Linked DNA regions of Oryctolagus cuniculus. Each later gene encodes a partner of the first gene's protein in a complex. Links are inferred from orthologs where the notes say so. Each region holds a gene or a part of one and is shown on either strand. Other genes may lie near its edges.

Region 1 (4,020 bases):
AGCCAATTAACCACCTATACAAAACAACCGTCCCACTAAAAGACAAATCAAGGAGAAATTTGCACAGCTGTTGATTCATATGTGCCCATATGAATGTGAATCCTGCTCAATCTGTAGACAGAAGAGCGTAATTTGAATATTTACTCACTGTTAAACTGCTCTCTCGACTCTTGCAGATCTAACTTCCTACAGCAGTCACCTCCTTGAAAAGCACATCTACTAGTATGTTCTGAAGGTAAGATATTTTGAGCACTCATCAAAAATCTGTATAACAACACAGATAGAATTACTTTAACTTATGGTTTTAAACTGTGAACTACTTTTCTACTCTTTGAGTTCAAACTAATTGAAGGTTAGGAAGTAACCACTTCCCCCCAGAAGCCAGAACTTTCGCCTCTTCTGAACAGGGGAATATCTCACTTCAATTAGGTAAAAATAAGGGTTTGCTGATTGAATCATTGTCCAAGATCCATGTAAGCTGCCAACTGTTTATCTAAATTTCCTATCTAACACAATGGGCAATCCCTCAAAGTCAGGGCAGTAACTTACTTCATCCACTACCTGGAACTCTAAAAACAGTAGCAAAAACAACCTGCATAAATATTAGTTACTCAATCTAGTTTCAATTTGTTTCAAGGAACAATGATAAGAGAAATGCAAGGACTATGATCAGTAGATCTATAAACCTGCCTATTTCAGAATAACTGAGCTTTAACCAACTCCAACTCAGTCATCACAAATGATATTGTTTAAGTGGTAGGAGTAAAAGGAAGTGCAAAGATCAAAGGAGTGCTCACAAAGGGGAACAAGACCATTTTTATGGGTATACTCCTCATTTTACTGAGTTTGAAAAACAGGAGCATCTACTCAGCCCACGTGAGGGCCAACTGTAGCACAGAAGATAAAACTGCAATTTCAAAACTAGGATAACAGATTTGCAAATCACCACCAACTCCTAATAGGATTATACTGTTTTCTTAAATATGTTCTTCAAGTAGTTTAAAAGTGGTACACTTTCCACAACAAGCAGCAGTTAATTTCCAGCATTAAAACCTACATACAATGAGTCTTCTGTGTTCAAGTTGGCCTACTAGGCTGCCCAAGAAGACATTTTACCTAAACAAGTGAAGGAAGGCATTGAGGAGTTGCAGGTATATCAATATGGATGAACAGTTTTATGAGATTTCCTGTTTCCATTTCATACACATATACACACCCTTCATTTTAGGAATTCAATTCCATGATAAATGTAAAATGCCAAAAGAAACACACCTCTTTTGATTTCCTATCTTCCTGAGCTCATCAGCTCAAAAAGCATTTCACTTTATTTACCTAATTTCTTTAGTACATAAAACAATAGAAGGATTCATCTCTAGAAAGCACAATATTAAAATCAAGAAAACAACATACTTCAGCTAAGGGTTTTATTTTAATTAAGTTTCCTTCTTAAAGTTCCAGCACACACTAATACAGTTAAAACTATTCAAGAATATTCAGTTGAGGAATCCTGCTAGAAAAATAATTATTGATAATTTTGTTTTCAAGTATTAGTATTTACCAAAGATCTTCAGTTTGTAGAAAAACATTCTGATGCTAGAACTATTAAATATTTTAGCAATACCATAACATTTTTCTCAGATTATAAGCTTTATAAGAAAACCTTGGAGTTAAACAATGTTATTTCATAAGCTGCAATGCTGAAAACCTCTAGTTAAAAGATCAGAAATTGTCCTCAGTCTTGATAACTAAATCCTAAATCATTAAGTACCAGTTAAGTTGCAGGATAGGCCAAATTAAACACGTCCATCAGAGTCTATTTTAAAAGCTCATAAGAAAACTTATCTTTAGAATAGTCTTGGTTTATATCATGAGTTTGGTTTTCGAGGTTAGGCACAATGCACGATGCCACTGTCCAGAGCTTTACATAATCCAGTGAAAAGTGCTCTAAGTGTGATTTCTCATCTTTCTCTAACGCCAGGCCCTGGAGGATGAGTACCAGGCCCCCATTTTTTGAAAACTAATGCGCAGGTCCAACAGCAGGTGAACAGATTAGGCCCTGTCGCTGTGTGTGTGAGTGTGCGTATGTATGTACACACGCCGGGCACTTGTGGGAAGCGAGGGCTTCTCTCTTTCAGAAGTCCAATAGGGAGGAATAGGCTCTCCTGTTTAATTCTGGGAAGCTGGGGAGGGCTTTTCCAACCTAGAGAACTGACAAGCACTTCTGCTTTCATTTCATGGAACGCCCTTAGGTGAAATCTGGTTCTGCACTGCACCAACCACCTTCCCCGATCTCCTCCGCGCCGCAGCGTACCCCAAACCTCCAGACACCCCCAGACAGAGACAAGGGGTGTGGATTAAAAAAAAAGTTTCCAAGAGTCGCTTCTGGTACCCGTGCTCGCCGGGCAGCGGGGCTCAGGAGACTGGAGGGTTCCGGCGGCCGCGGCCCTTCGGCCGCACAGCCCCGCGCAGTCCGGATGTGCCTTCCCCCCAGTCGCCAAAGCCCATGTGCCTCTCAACTACTGTCAACCTCCTCCCACGGTCTGGCCCAGCGGTTAGCGCAGGAATGAGGAAGGCCAAGGGGGCGTACCGGGGCTGCGGGCCGGGTGGGCGGCGGGACGCGGCCCCCAGTCCCCAGCGAGGCCCCCACTTGCCCGAGTTTGGCTTACCCTGGTGGCGGGTCCGCGCGCGGCCTCCCGGCGCCTAGGGGCTGCCCTCCGGGGCGGCGCGGGCCTGCGCGCTGGCGAAGGAAGAGGCAGCAGCCGGCTGGAGCCGGCGCCCGAGCGGGCCCGGGTGCGGGTCGGAGCGCGGGAGCAGGCGCGCGGTCGGACCGGGCCGGGCCCGTCAGCGCCGCGCCATGTCCGCAGCGCGGGCGGAGGCAAGCGCGGGGCGCTCGGCAGCCGGGCGGCGCTGCACCGCCTTCCTGGCCCGGCGGCTCCGGCCTGGGCTGCGCCGGTCTGTGGGCACGGGGAGGCAGGCGGCGTTCAGGCCAAGGGCGGCGGTGGCGGTGGCGGCGGCTGGAGGCCCGACCGACGGGAAAGGCAGGGGAAGCTGTCAGCGCGTCGCCGGGCCGCTCCGGTGGCGAAACCTCCTCTTCCTGCCCGGCTCGCTGGTGCACTTCTCTCTCTTGCTCTCTCGCTCACTCTCTCACTTCCTGGCTGGAAATTCCCACTGACGTCGAGAGAGAAGACCGACAGACGGACACAGGCGCGCACGCCGCGGGGGCGGGAGGTGGGGTCGCCGCCGGGGGTGGGGAAAGCCCGCACTTGTGGAGGCGCCCCGCGCCCCCGGTCCGGCCTGGCGGGGCGGCTCGGCTCCCGCCCCTGGCGGCAGCGTAGAGACGCGGAGCGCGCTCAGGCGGCCTTGGACGCTCGGGTGGCCTGCAGGGCTCTTGCTGCTGGCCCGGCGCTCTCGCAGCCTGGAGGGCTGGGGGCGAGCGGGGACGTCCCCAGGAAGCGCCTGCGGGCCCGAATTGTCCGGGCAAGCAGGCGGCGGCTGTGGGAGCGGGCGGTCCGGAGTCCTGAAAGGCAGGCCCGAGCAGCTGGCGGCGATGAGGGGTCGGCATGCATCCAAGCCTGCCAGCTACAAAAATAAATCTCATCTGTATGTTCCATTTAAGTCCGTCTCGGTTACACCCGAATCTCCTCACAGAGTAAACTGGAATTCCGATAGCATAACTGACTTAGGTCCAATGCAGTAGGAACATCTTCTGGGCGTTGGCGAGGTCTTTAATCTCCTGGTTTTGCGCCAGTTATTCACAGCTTCCACCCAGAGCTACGGTCGGGCCTTTTGATGATTACCGTGGATAGAATGAGAGTGAGGGTGGCAGCGATGGTTTTGGTTCACGGGTCATAGGGAAATCTTGATTTGGCAGAAAGGAGTTTTTCTTTTTACCTTTCTTCCTTCCTTCTTTCCTTCTTTACTTTTTTGCTGGGTAGACTGCTACTGGCCCCTGCAGACGGGCCTCCCCTTGACCACCATTCCTGGATTTGAGCTGCTGCCCGCACCTGACACTGCGCTAAG
Region 2 (4,304 bases), on another chromosome or scaffold:
ATTTGTATTTTAAGATCTGTATTTAATTTACATACAATGTGATTTCCGGACACAGCTTGTTTGCCATAGCCATAGCCCAGCTCAAAGTATAGACTCCTAAGGTTTTTAAAGGTATTGCTCTGCTTCTAAGAATTTACCCCCTCCTCCACCTTACAACATCTTCAAGCAGCTCCTACAGTATTCTAGCTCTCCTCATTTCCCCCTCTCTGAAAGGGAACTCGGTCGTTTGGTACTCGTTAAATCCACAGATTTCCCTCAGCACCCTAGCTCCCGCCTTTAAATTTTTCCTCCTTTGACTTTATAAAGTGTTTACTTAAGGAACATTTGCATCTCAACATTTATTTCTGCATGCTGTTCTACTTAATATATTAGAAAGGACCAAGAGTCAAAGTTCCCAAAGGAGTCGGTAGCACAGTTTCTTCCCCTATCTTACCAGATTTAAACAAAGCCAATGCCTTTATCCCTTGCTTTCCACCCGGTTTGTTGCTGTTTCTCATCCCTGCACATTTGAGGGGCTATTAGTTGGTATTTAAATACATTTAAAAACCAATTCTTCGTCTTCTTATTTTGAAATTTTTGAATACGTTCTTCTGTGTCTTGCGTTATTCTGCCTCTGATAACGATGTTCCCAGTACAGAAAGTATCCCGGGAGTTTACTCCCTTCAAACGAGTTACAATATTACAGTTCTGCGGCAGGTGCCATGGTTCACGCCCTCCAGAAGCTAATACTTCGCCGCCAAGTAGATGCTTTAACTTTGTCAAGACGAAACACCTAGGAAGTGGTATCGTCACTGGATCTGCTCTACCCAATTTCCTACCTGTTGCGGGCCCTTGCTCGGAGAGGACGAACTAGATTGGTCTAATGGGCCCCTCTCCTTTTCCACCCACTGCCCCTCTCGGCCTTCCGCAGCTGCCTGGAGAACCCCAGCCAGTCCTGGCCCCAAGGAGCGACCCTCGGACGCCCGCAACCCCTCGCCGGAGAACTAAAGTCAGGGCTGACGCACGAGCCGCGATGGAACAGAGTCGTGGCTCGGTTCCTGGTAAGGCGAGCGGAGCGCGCAAGGAATGCCTTGGAAGGCAGGGTGCGCGGGACGTGGACAGAACGCCACTTTAACTCGGCTTCCTCCCTGGACGCCAGAGGTCCGGAGCTGCCCTGACAACCGGAGCAAACCAATTCGTCTGCGCGGCGGTCCCGGGTTCCTCTTCCCCGCCTCCCCGCAAGTCTACTTCTCTTTCGCTTCCTCCCCCTGCTCTCCAGCTGCACGTGGTCCCTCCCTGCCCTGCCCCCGCCGCGCCCCTCCTTACCCCTCCCCTCCGAACCCTCCCAGCCCCCGGCCCTTTCCTCCCTGCGTTCCTCGCTTCCCCTTTCCGTTCGCTCTTTCCGCCCCCGCTCCCCATCCACCCTTCCGATTGGTCGAGCGCGCCGGAGCCTGGTCGGCCAATCGGCGAGCACGGTTGGCGGCGATGGGCGTGGCTGCGGCGCCGGGGCCCTCAGATCGAGGCTGCCTCCCCCTCTCAGCCGGCAGCACATTCCGCCGCCGTTGCCGCCGCCCGGCCCCGCAGTTGTCTTCGCCGGAGCTGCCGTCGCGCTGGGGTTAGGGCGGGGGGGCGGGCGGGGAGAGGAGGAGAAGGCCGCGGCCGAGGCAGGTGAGAGGAGGAAGGAAGCGGCGGCCGGGCGGGCAGAGCAGCTCAGGCGGCGGCCCGGTTCCTGGGAGTGTCGGTGCGGCGCGGTGGTTGGGGCGGATCCCGCGGGGCCCGGGCGGGGGAAGGAGTCACCGGCCCGGCCATGGCGGACAACGAGAAACTGGACAACCAACGGCTCAAGAATTTCAAGAACAAAGGCCGCGACTTGGAGGTAAACTCGGAGGCGCTGGAGGGGTGGGAGCCGTGGGCCTGCGGTCGGTGCCCGCCGGGACTCAGAGTGGGGAGCAGGGGCGGGAGCCGCCGCCGCCGCCGCGGGGCCGCGGGGGAATGGCGCTGGGGGCCGGCCCGCCCGTGACGCCTCTGCTACCGCGCCGGGAAGTTTGTGTCGGGCCTGCTCCGCCTCCGCCGGGGAGCGAGGTGCCGGGCCACGGCCGGCGCGGCCTAGGCCTGCCCCGCAGAGCCGGGCCGGCGCGGGTGCGAGGGCTGGGCCGCGCGGCGTGTGTGGAAGCGGCGCGCGCGTGCGGCCGGCGCTCCCCGGCCCGGCCCCCTCCCCGGCCGCGGCGGCCAGGCCGGCTCTCGCCCCGGCACCGACGTCTGGCGCCGCGGGAAAGGAGGGCGGCGGGGGGCGGGGGCGAGCGTGTGGCGACCGAGTGGGGCTCGGAACTTCCTCGGCGGGGCCCGAGACGTCTCCACTTAAAGGCGTTTTCTCTGGTCTTCCCGACTCCCGCTTTACCCCTGCCTCCCCCCGATGTCCAAACTACAGGAGTCAACTTCTCCGTTGAAAAAAACACCCCCGGCGTGAGAGGCCATCCTGGTGATGCTAACAGTGCCTTCCAGCGGCCTGTGTTTTTACTCTGGATATAGCTGTTTCAAGATGTGGCTCACGATGTGCCCTCTTCCAGGCAGAGGATACCCCTTATTTCAGCTTGTCCACAAATCTCTTTATCCCCTCCTGAGAGGAGACCACCAGCTGCATTCTTACATAGAAAGTCCAAAGGGTTATACAAAGCTGTCATCCTCTAGTCTACAGTATCCTTTCCCTCCACCTGCTGGTGGTGGTGGTGGGGGATGGGGTGGGCTATGGAATGGCACCATCACATTTTATTATTTAAAAGGGGGAAAAAAGCTTCATTGTCTTAGATACAGCTGCTCCCGAGGTTCTCGGTCTGTGTAAGGTGTGTGTATGCACACAGTCAGATTTCTGATACAAGACTATCTTCCCTTCAGCTTTGAGAGTTCAAGTAAATAGGTTTTTGTTGTTTTTAAATCTTCTACATCTGAATCAAGAGTTCAGCTTTTAAGGGAAAAAGTGGTCAAGTATTTTTTTATGTTATCCCTCTCTGCATTTTTATAGTGAGATGTTCAAATTCCCCTGGCCTTTTTCTGAACTGGAGCATTTGCTTGACTATTAACTTACTTTGGGGGCTTTTCACAAAGCCATTCAGATCTCTGAGGTAGTTTGTGCTGTTTTAGTGGGTTGCATAGTTTGAGAGACTATGTATTGGAGTTGTGGCCATTAATTCTATGATTGCTTTTTGGTTAACATGAGATATAATCCTTATGATCCCTTTTTCTAATGAAAAATTTAACATCTTTATTGAGATAATTCACATGCCATAAAAATCAACCTTCTAAATGTACAGTATTATTTTCAGTAAATTAATTTGTGCCAATAAAGTAACAGGTTTTTTTTTTTAACTAATATCTATTTAGAATGAAGAAATTGCAAATTACAAAATTTAAAAACTGATGAATACCAGTAACAAAGTCCAGAAAAAAATAGCCCTTTCTTCTCTACATTTCTGCCTGCGTTGAGTTATAAATCACATACCATATAATCCACCCATTAAAAGTGGCTTTTGAGCATATTCACATAGTTGTGCAACCATTACCGGGATCACTCTTAGAATATTTTCACTTACCTCAAAAAAGAAACTGGTGCTCATTAGCAGTCACTCTTCGTTTTTCAACTACCCCAGCCCCAGGCAACCACTTTGTCTCTTTAGATGTGCCTGTTCTGGGCATTTCATTTACACAATTTGTGAGCTTTTGTGACTGGCTTCTTTCAGGTAGTATATTTTCAAGGTTCATATATATTGTGACAAGAATGTATCAGTGTTTCCAGTCCTTCTTATGGCTGAATGATATTCCAGCATATGGATGTACTGCATTTTGTTTATCCATTCATAAGTTGATGGACATTTGTGTTTCCACTTTTTAGGTATATATGAATATGTAATTCTGTGAACATTCATGTACATTTGTATGGGTGTCATTTCATGTCTCTTGGTCATGTATCTACGGGTGGAATTTACTAGGTCATATGGAAAACTTAAAAAAAAATTGGGGATTGCCAGATTATTTTTCTAAAGTTATCCTCATTTTAAAGATTGCTATTTCCCCTTGCTGCTTGTCACTAAGTATCTACACATCAAACAGGACTTGTTTCTGTTTTGAGAAGTTTGAGGTGTCTTGCTGGCATCCTCAGCTGACTTTGATACCCCTATATGTCATTAGAAATAGAAATATTTTCATTTCACACTTAACAAAATGAAATATACTATAACAGAGGCCATACTTTTTCTTCAGTGTGACTTACTCAGAGTAACTCATAATGAGATAGAAATGTCTTTTATTACCCTTAAAGAACATTAATGATG
Region 3 (3,950 bases), on another chromosome or scaffold:
TGTTCCATATGGGGGGAACAGGTGGAGATCCGAGGAGAGGCAAGGGTTGCTTTGTACCTGATCAGTAAGGCGAAGGTGATTGCCACAACCTCCAGAAACCTCTGCAGAGGCCCCTGGAGCTCATGCTCAAAGCCGATCAAAGCCGATTTGATTACCTGCACCAATTCCAGAAGTAGTTGAATTCAGCCCAGTCTGCCGCTTCGGGGGCCGGAGCATAACCTCTCTAAAGCCAGGGGATTCTCTCAAGAGTGGCACTGCAGGAATGGCTCCAGCTACTGCCCTCTCCCAGAGCACACGGGGGAGCCGCCTGGAACCTCCCGCGGGGGGCCTGGCAGTTACTCTTGGCCATCTTTCAGGCCCAATCCTGGGTAAGACACTAACTGCCACCCATTGGTCAGGCTCCTCCCAATGCTGAAAAATTGCTCAGCTGGGCACTCAGAAATAGGCTCAGGATCCATTTCCTGCAGCACAGACCATGAACTTCGTTACTGCAAGGTTACCTGCAACCCCTCCCACCAAGACGAACTCCTTGCTTAACAAAAAGCAAACCCTTGAGGCCCCACTGAGCGCTGACCCCTCGCAGGGCGAGATCTGTCCCTCCCCCAGCCGACAGGCCTGTTAGTCCCCAGGACGGGACTTGGTTTAAAACCCAGCTTCTCCCCGAGGGGGTCGGGACGCCAGGAGCGCTTGCACCCTACAGGGCCGGGAATCTGCGGGAACCCAGGGGCCGCCCGCGAACTGCACCCAACTCTGGGGAAGACAAACCCCCACGGCCAGCCACCGTTTCCACTCTTGCGCTTCCGCAAGATCCGAGAAAACGGAAAGGACCGGCTGGGCGGCAAACCCCAAAGAGGAACGGCCCGGCAGGTCTGTGTCCTCGGGATCCCTGCAGCAGACGACCCCGAGTGCAATCGGCCGTGGGAAACCCCAGGGAGAGAGGAGGGCCCTGCAGGGTCGGCCTGGCCGCGCGCGGTCCGCAGGGAAGCACCGGGGCGGCGGCGGCCGCCGGGCCCGGAGGACTTTCCAGCCACTCAGCGCGCAGCGAGAAGTTCCCTGGACATGACCCCGGTGGGTCATCCCAGGGAGTTTCTCCGATGAACCCCGGCTCGGAGTTTAGGCTGCCTTTTTTTTTCCCCTAGCAGAGGACCAAGCCAGTTCTCTTTTCTGGTCTGACTGGCTTGGAAATTCCCCGCGCCTGACCCCGCCCCCAGAGAAATTCCCCGCCAGCGTTTATAGGGCGGCGCGGCGGCGCTGCCGAGCCCACAACAGTCGCAGCGCGCCGCCCGCCAGGAGCCGGCGACAGGACGAGGACGCCAGCGCGCAGCCCGCGGCCGAGCACCTGGGGAGCAGCGCCATGTTTCAGCCGGCCGAGCACGCTCAGGACTGGGCCATGGAGGGGCCCCGGGACGCGCTGAAGAAGGAGCGCCTGCTGGACGACCGCCACGACAGCGGCCTGGACTCCATGAAGGACGAGGAGTACGAGCAGATGGTGAAGGAGCTGCGCGAGATCCGCCTGGAGCCGCAGGAGGCGCCGCGCGCCGCCGAGCCCTGGAGGCAGCAGCTCACGGAGGACGGAGACTCGTAAGTGTCGGGGGGCTGAGGGCCGCGGGCCGGGCGGGGGGCGGCCGGGCCTGCAGCGCGGGCCCCGGGGCTGCAGCACAGCCGGGCTGGAGGGGGGGGATGGCCGTGCAGCGCCGCCGAGTCTGCCGCAAAGCTGCGGGGCGGCCGCGCGCGGGCCGGGGCTCCTCTGGGGGCTCCTCGGGCCGGCGGGGAAGGGCGTGGACGGCCCCGTCCCCGCACACCCCGAACCCCGCAGCCCGGCGCTCGCGGCGGGGGGCGGCGCGGCGGCAGGGACGCCGAGTCCCGGGTTGCATAAGGCGGGCGGGCGGGCGGGCGCCGCGCGGCCGGCGGGGGAAGTACAGGGCGTTCCGGGCCGCCGGGAGGGCGGGGCGGCCTGGCCGGCGCCGCCGCGGGGGGGGCGGGGCCCGGAAAGTCCCTGGGCGCCTGCCAGGAACACTCAGCTCATAATAACCCCGCGGAAAACACCGCGGCCCCGGCTCCAGAAACCCCGGCCTTGCGCAATCCCCCGCAGGCCGCGCCTCCCCGGGGCCCCACGCAGTGCGCTCACCGCCCCTTGCGGGGGGTTTTCCCCTCTCTGGCCTGCAGGTTCCTCCACTTGGCCATCATCCATGAAGAGAAGGCATTGACCATGGAAGTGATTCGCCAGGTGAAGGGAGACCTGGCCTTCCTCAACTTCCAGAACAACCTGCAGCAGGTGCGCCTGTCGTCCCCAGCCCTGTGCCCTCTGTGACCTCGGGATGCAGTCGATGTGGCACAGTCCTCCCCACCCCTAGCTCTCTGAAAGAACAGCCACAGGTCCTTACCTGCCCTGGCCTTTCACATTCCAATAAGCCGGTCTCCTGCAGAGTTAAAAGCCCACGGATTGGGTGAGGTCTTTGCGACCCACCCGGGGCCCTGGTCTTTGGCCCCCTGTCCCTGTCTGGGAGGAGCAGCACCCACCCCCGGGAGATGTCTGCGGCTCAGGGGCACTCGGAGGACGACTTTGCGCCGAGGCTTATCTGTGCTCGCTCTCCCACTCGTAGACGCCGCTCCACTTGGCTGTCATCACTAGCCAGCCAGAAATTGCTGAGGCACTGCTGGAAGCTGGCTGTGATCCTGAGCTGCGGGACTTTCGAGGAAACACTCCGCTGCACCTTGCCTGCGAGCAGGGCTGCCTGGCCAGCGTGGGCGTCCTCAAGCAGACCTGCACGGCCCAGCACCTGCACTCCATTCTGCAGGCCATCAACTACAACGGTACGCTGTGCTGTCCCAGGCGGGCGGCGCGGGGGAGGCGGGCTGGCCTAAGGCGTGCAGGGCAGAGCTTAAACTCCCAGCTTGTGAAAGCAGGAGGAAATGAGTATCAAGCGCCTGTCTCAGGCTGCTGGAATGTTCATTCAGAACCCAGATTCGGGCTCCTTAGAATTCAGGGGCCACATGTGCTTGTCCCATGAGTGACTAGGGGGACGGTGAAACAGGTGGTGATGCTCTCTTCCTTCTGTCCGTCTAGGCCACACGTGTCTGCACCTGGCTTCCATCCACGGCTACCTGGGCATTGTGGAGCTGTTGGTGTCCTGGGGTGCTGATGTCAACGCCCAGGTGAGTGCCTCACGAGCCAGGTGGAGTGCTGCTCTTTGCCAGCAACATGTCAGCCACACTGGCTGCACGCAGGAATGCCAGACGCCTCCTAAGCATCTCACACTCCTCTTGGCTCTAGGAACCCTGCAATGGGCGCACGGCCCTCCACCTCGCCGTGGACCTGCAGAATCCGGACCTGGTGTCGCTCTTGTTGAAGTGCGGGGCCGATGTCAACCGGGTCACCTACCAGGGCTACTCCCCGTACCAACTCACATGGGGCCGCCCCAGCACCCGGATCCAGCAGCAGCTGGGCCAGCTGACCTTGGAGAACCTCCAGAGGTTGCCCGAGAGTGAGGACGAGGAGAGCTGTGACACGGAGTCGGACGGCACGGAGGACGAGGTGAGCCCCATCCCCTACCCTGCCAGGCCCCTTCCCTTGAGCAGCCCTGGGATATTGGATAGAGCTCTCCGACTGTATAGAACCCCCCCCCCCCAATAAAAATAAAAGTAGCTTACCCTTCTTTAAGCAGCAAATCCTTCAAGGGAAATGCACTCAGCCTGTCAAGTTCATTGCACGGCGGGTGGGGGGATCGGAGCTGCAGTCGCAGCCAGGGCCCTGGCCTGCGGCCTGCAGCCCCGGGCTGGGCCTTGGAGGTTTACTCTCCTCTTCTTCTTCCAGCTGCCCTATGATGACTGCGTGTTCGGAGGCCAGCGCCTGACCTTGTGAGCACCAGGCGCCTGGAAAGCACGTGGACTTGTATATTTGTACAAAAAGAGAGTTTTATTTTTCTAAAAAAAAAAAAAGGAAAAAGGAA

What was found. The genes of interacting proteins can lie anywhere in the genome.
Region 2: the proteins of NFKB1 (region 1) and KPNA4 are in contact, whole or in part, in a crystal structure (PDB 7LFC), measured with the Homo sapiens proteins. The link is inferred for Oryctolagus cuniculus from reciprocal best matches to the Homo sapiens genes NFKB1 and KPNA4. Residues at the interface, in NP_001158884.1 of Homo sapiens: Glu357, Glu358, Val359, Gln360, Arg361, Lys362, Arg363, Gln364, Lys365, Leu366, Met367; in NP_002259.1 of Homo sapiens: Arg96, Lys97, Leu99, Ser100, Ser101, Asp102, Arg103, Pro105, Phe133, Trp137, Thr140, Asn141, Ala143, Ser144, Gly145, Thr146, Ser147, Thr150, Gln176, Trp179, Gly182, Asn183, Gly186, Asp187, Asn219, Trp222, Val225, Asn226, Arg229, His230.
Region 3: the proteins of NFKB1 (region 1) and NFKBIA are in contact, whole or in part, in a crystal structure (PDB 1NFI), measured with the Homo sapiens proteins. The link is inferred for Oryctolagus cuniculus from reciprocal best matches to the Homo sapiens genes NFKB1 and NFKBIA. Residues at the interface, in NP_001158884.1 of Homo sapiens: Lys251, Ile252, Val253, Arg254, Met255, Asp256, Arg257, Thr258, Ala259, Pro326, Lys345, Leu348, Tyr350, Ile353; in NP_065390.1 of Homo sapiens: Asn108, Asn109, Leu110, Gln111, Arg140, Tyr181, Pro214, Cys215, Asn216, Arg218, Tyr248, Gln249.

The regions. Positions count from the first base shown.
Region 1 is NC_091439.1:62,714,508-62,718,527, forward strand, and holds the start of NFKB1 (nuclear factor NF-kappa-B p105 subunit), read right to left. Parts: upstream 2,802-4,020; 5' UTR 2,667-2,801; intron 1-2,666.
Region 2 is NC_091435.1:120,182,788-120,187,091, forward strand, and holds the start of KPNA4 (importin subunit alpha-3), read left to right. Parts: upstream 1-1,501; 5' UTR 1,502-1,786; coding exon of another isoform or gene 1,787-1,855; intron 1,856-2,407; 5' UTR 2,408-4,304. UniProt on the Homo sapiens protein: Functions in nuclear protein import as an adapter protein for nuclear receptor KPNB1. Binds specifically and directly to substrates containing either a simple or bipartite NLS motif.
Region 3 is NC_091443.1:40,158,563-40,162,512, forward strand, and holds the start of NFKBIA (NF-kappa-B inhibitor alpha), read left to right. Parts: upstream 1-1,147; 5' UTR 1,148-1,354; coding exon 1,355-1,581; intron 1,582-2,166; coding exon 2,167-2,275; intron 2,276-2,603; coding exon 2,604-2,814; intron 2,815-3,067; coding exon 3,068-3,156; intron 3,157-3,274; coding exon 3,275-3,535; intron 3,536-3,651; exon of another isoform or gene 3,652-3,814; coding exon 3,815-3,862; 3' UTR 3,863-3,950. UniProt on the Homo sapiens protein: Inhibits the activity of dimeric NF-kappa-B/REL complexes by trapping REL (RELA/p65 and NFKB1/p50) dimers in the cytoplasm by masking their nuclear localization signals.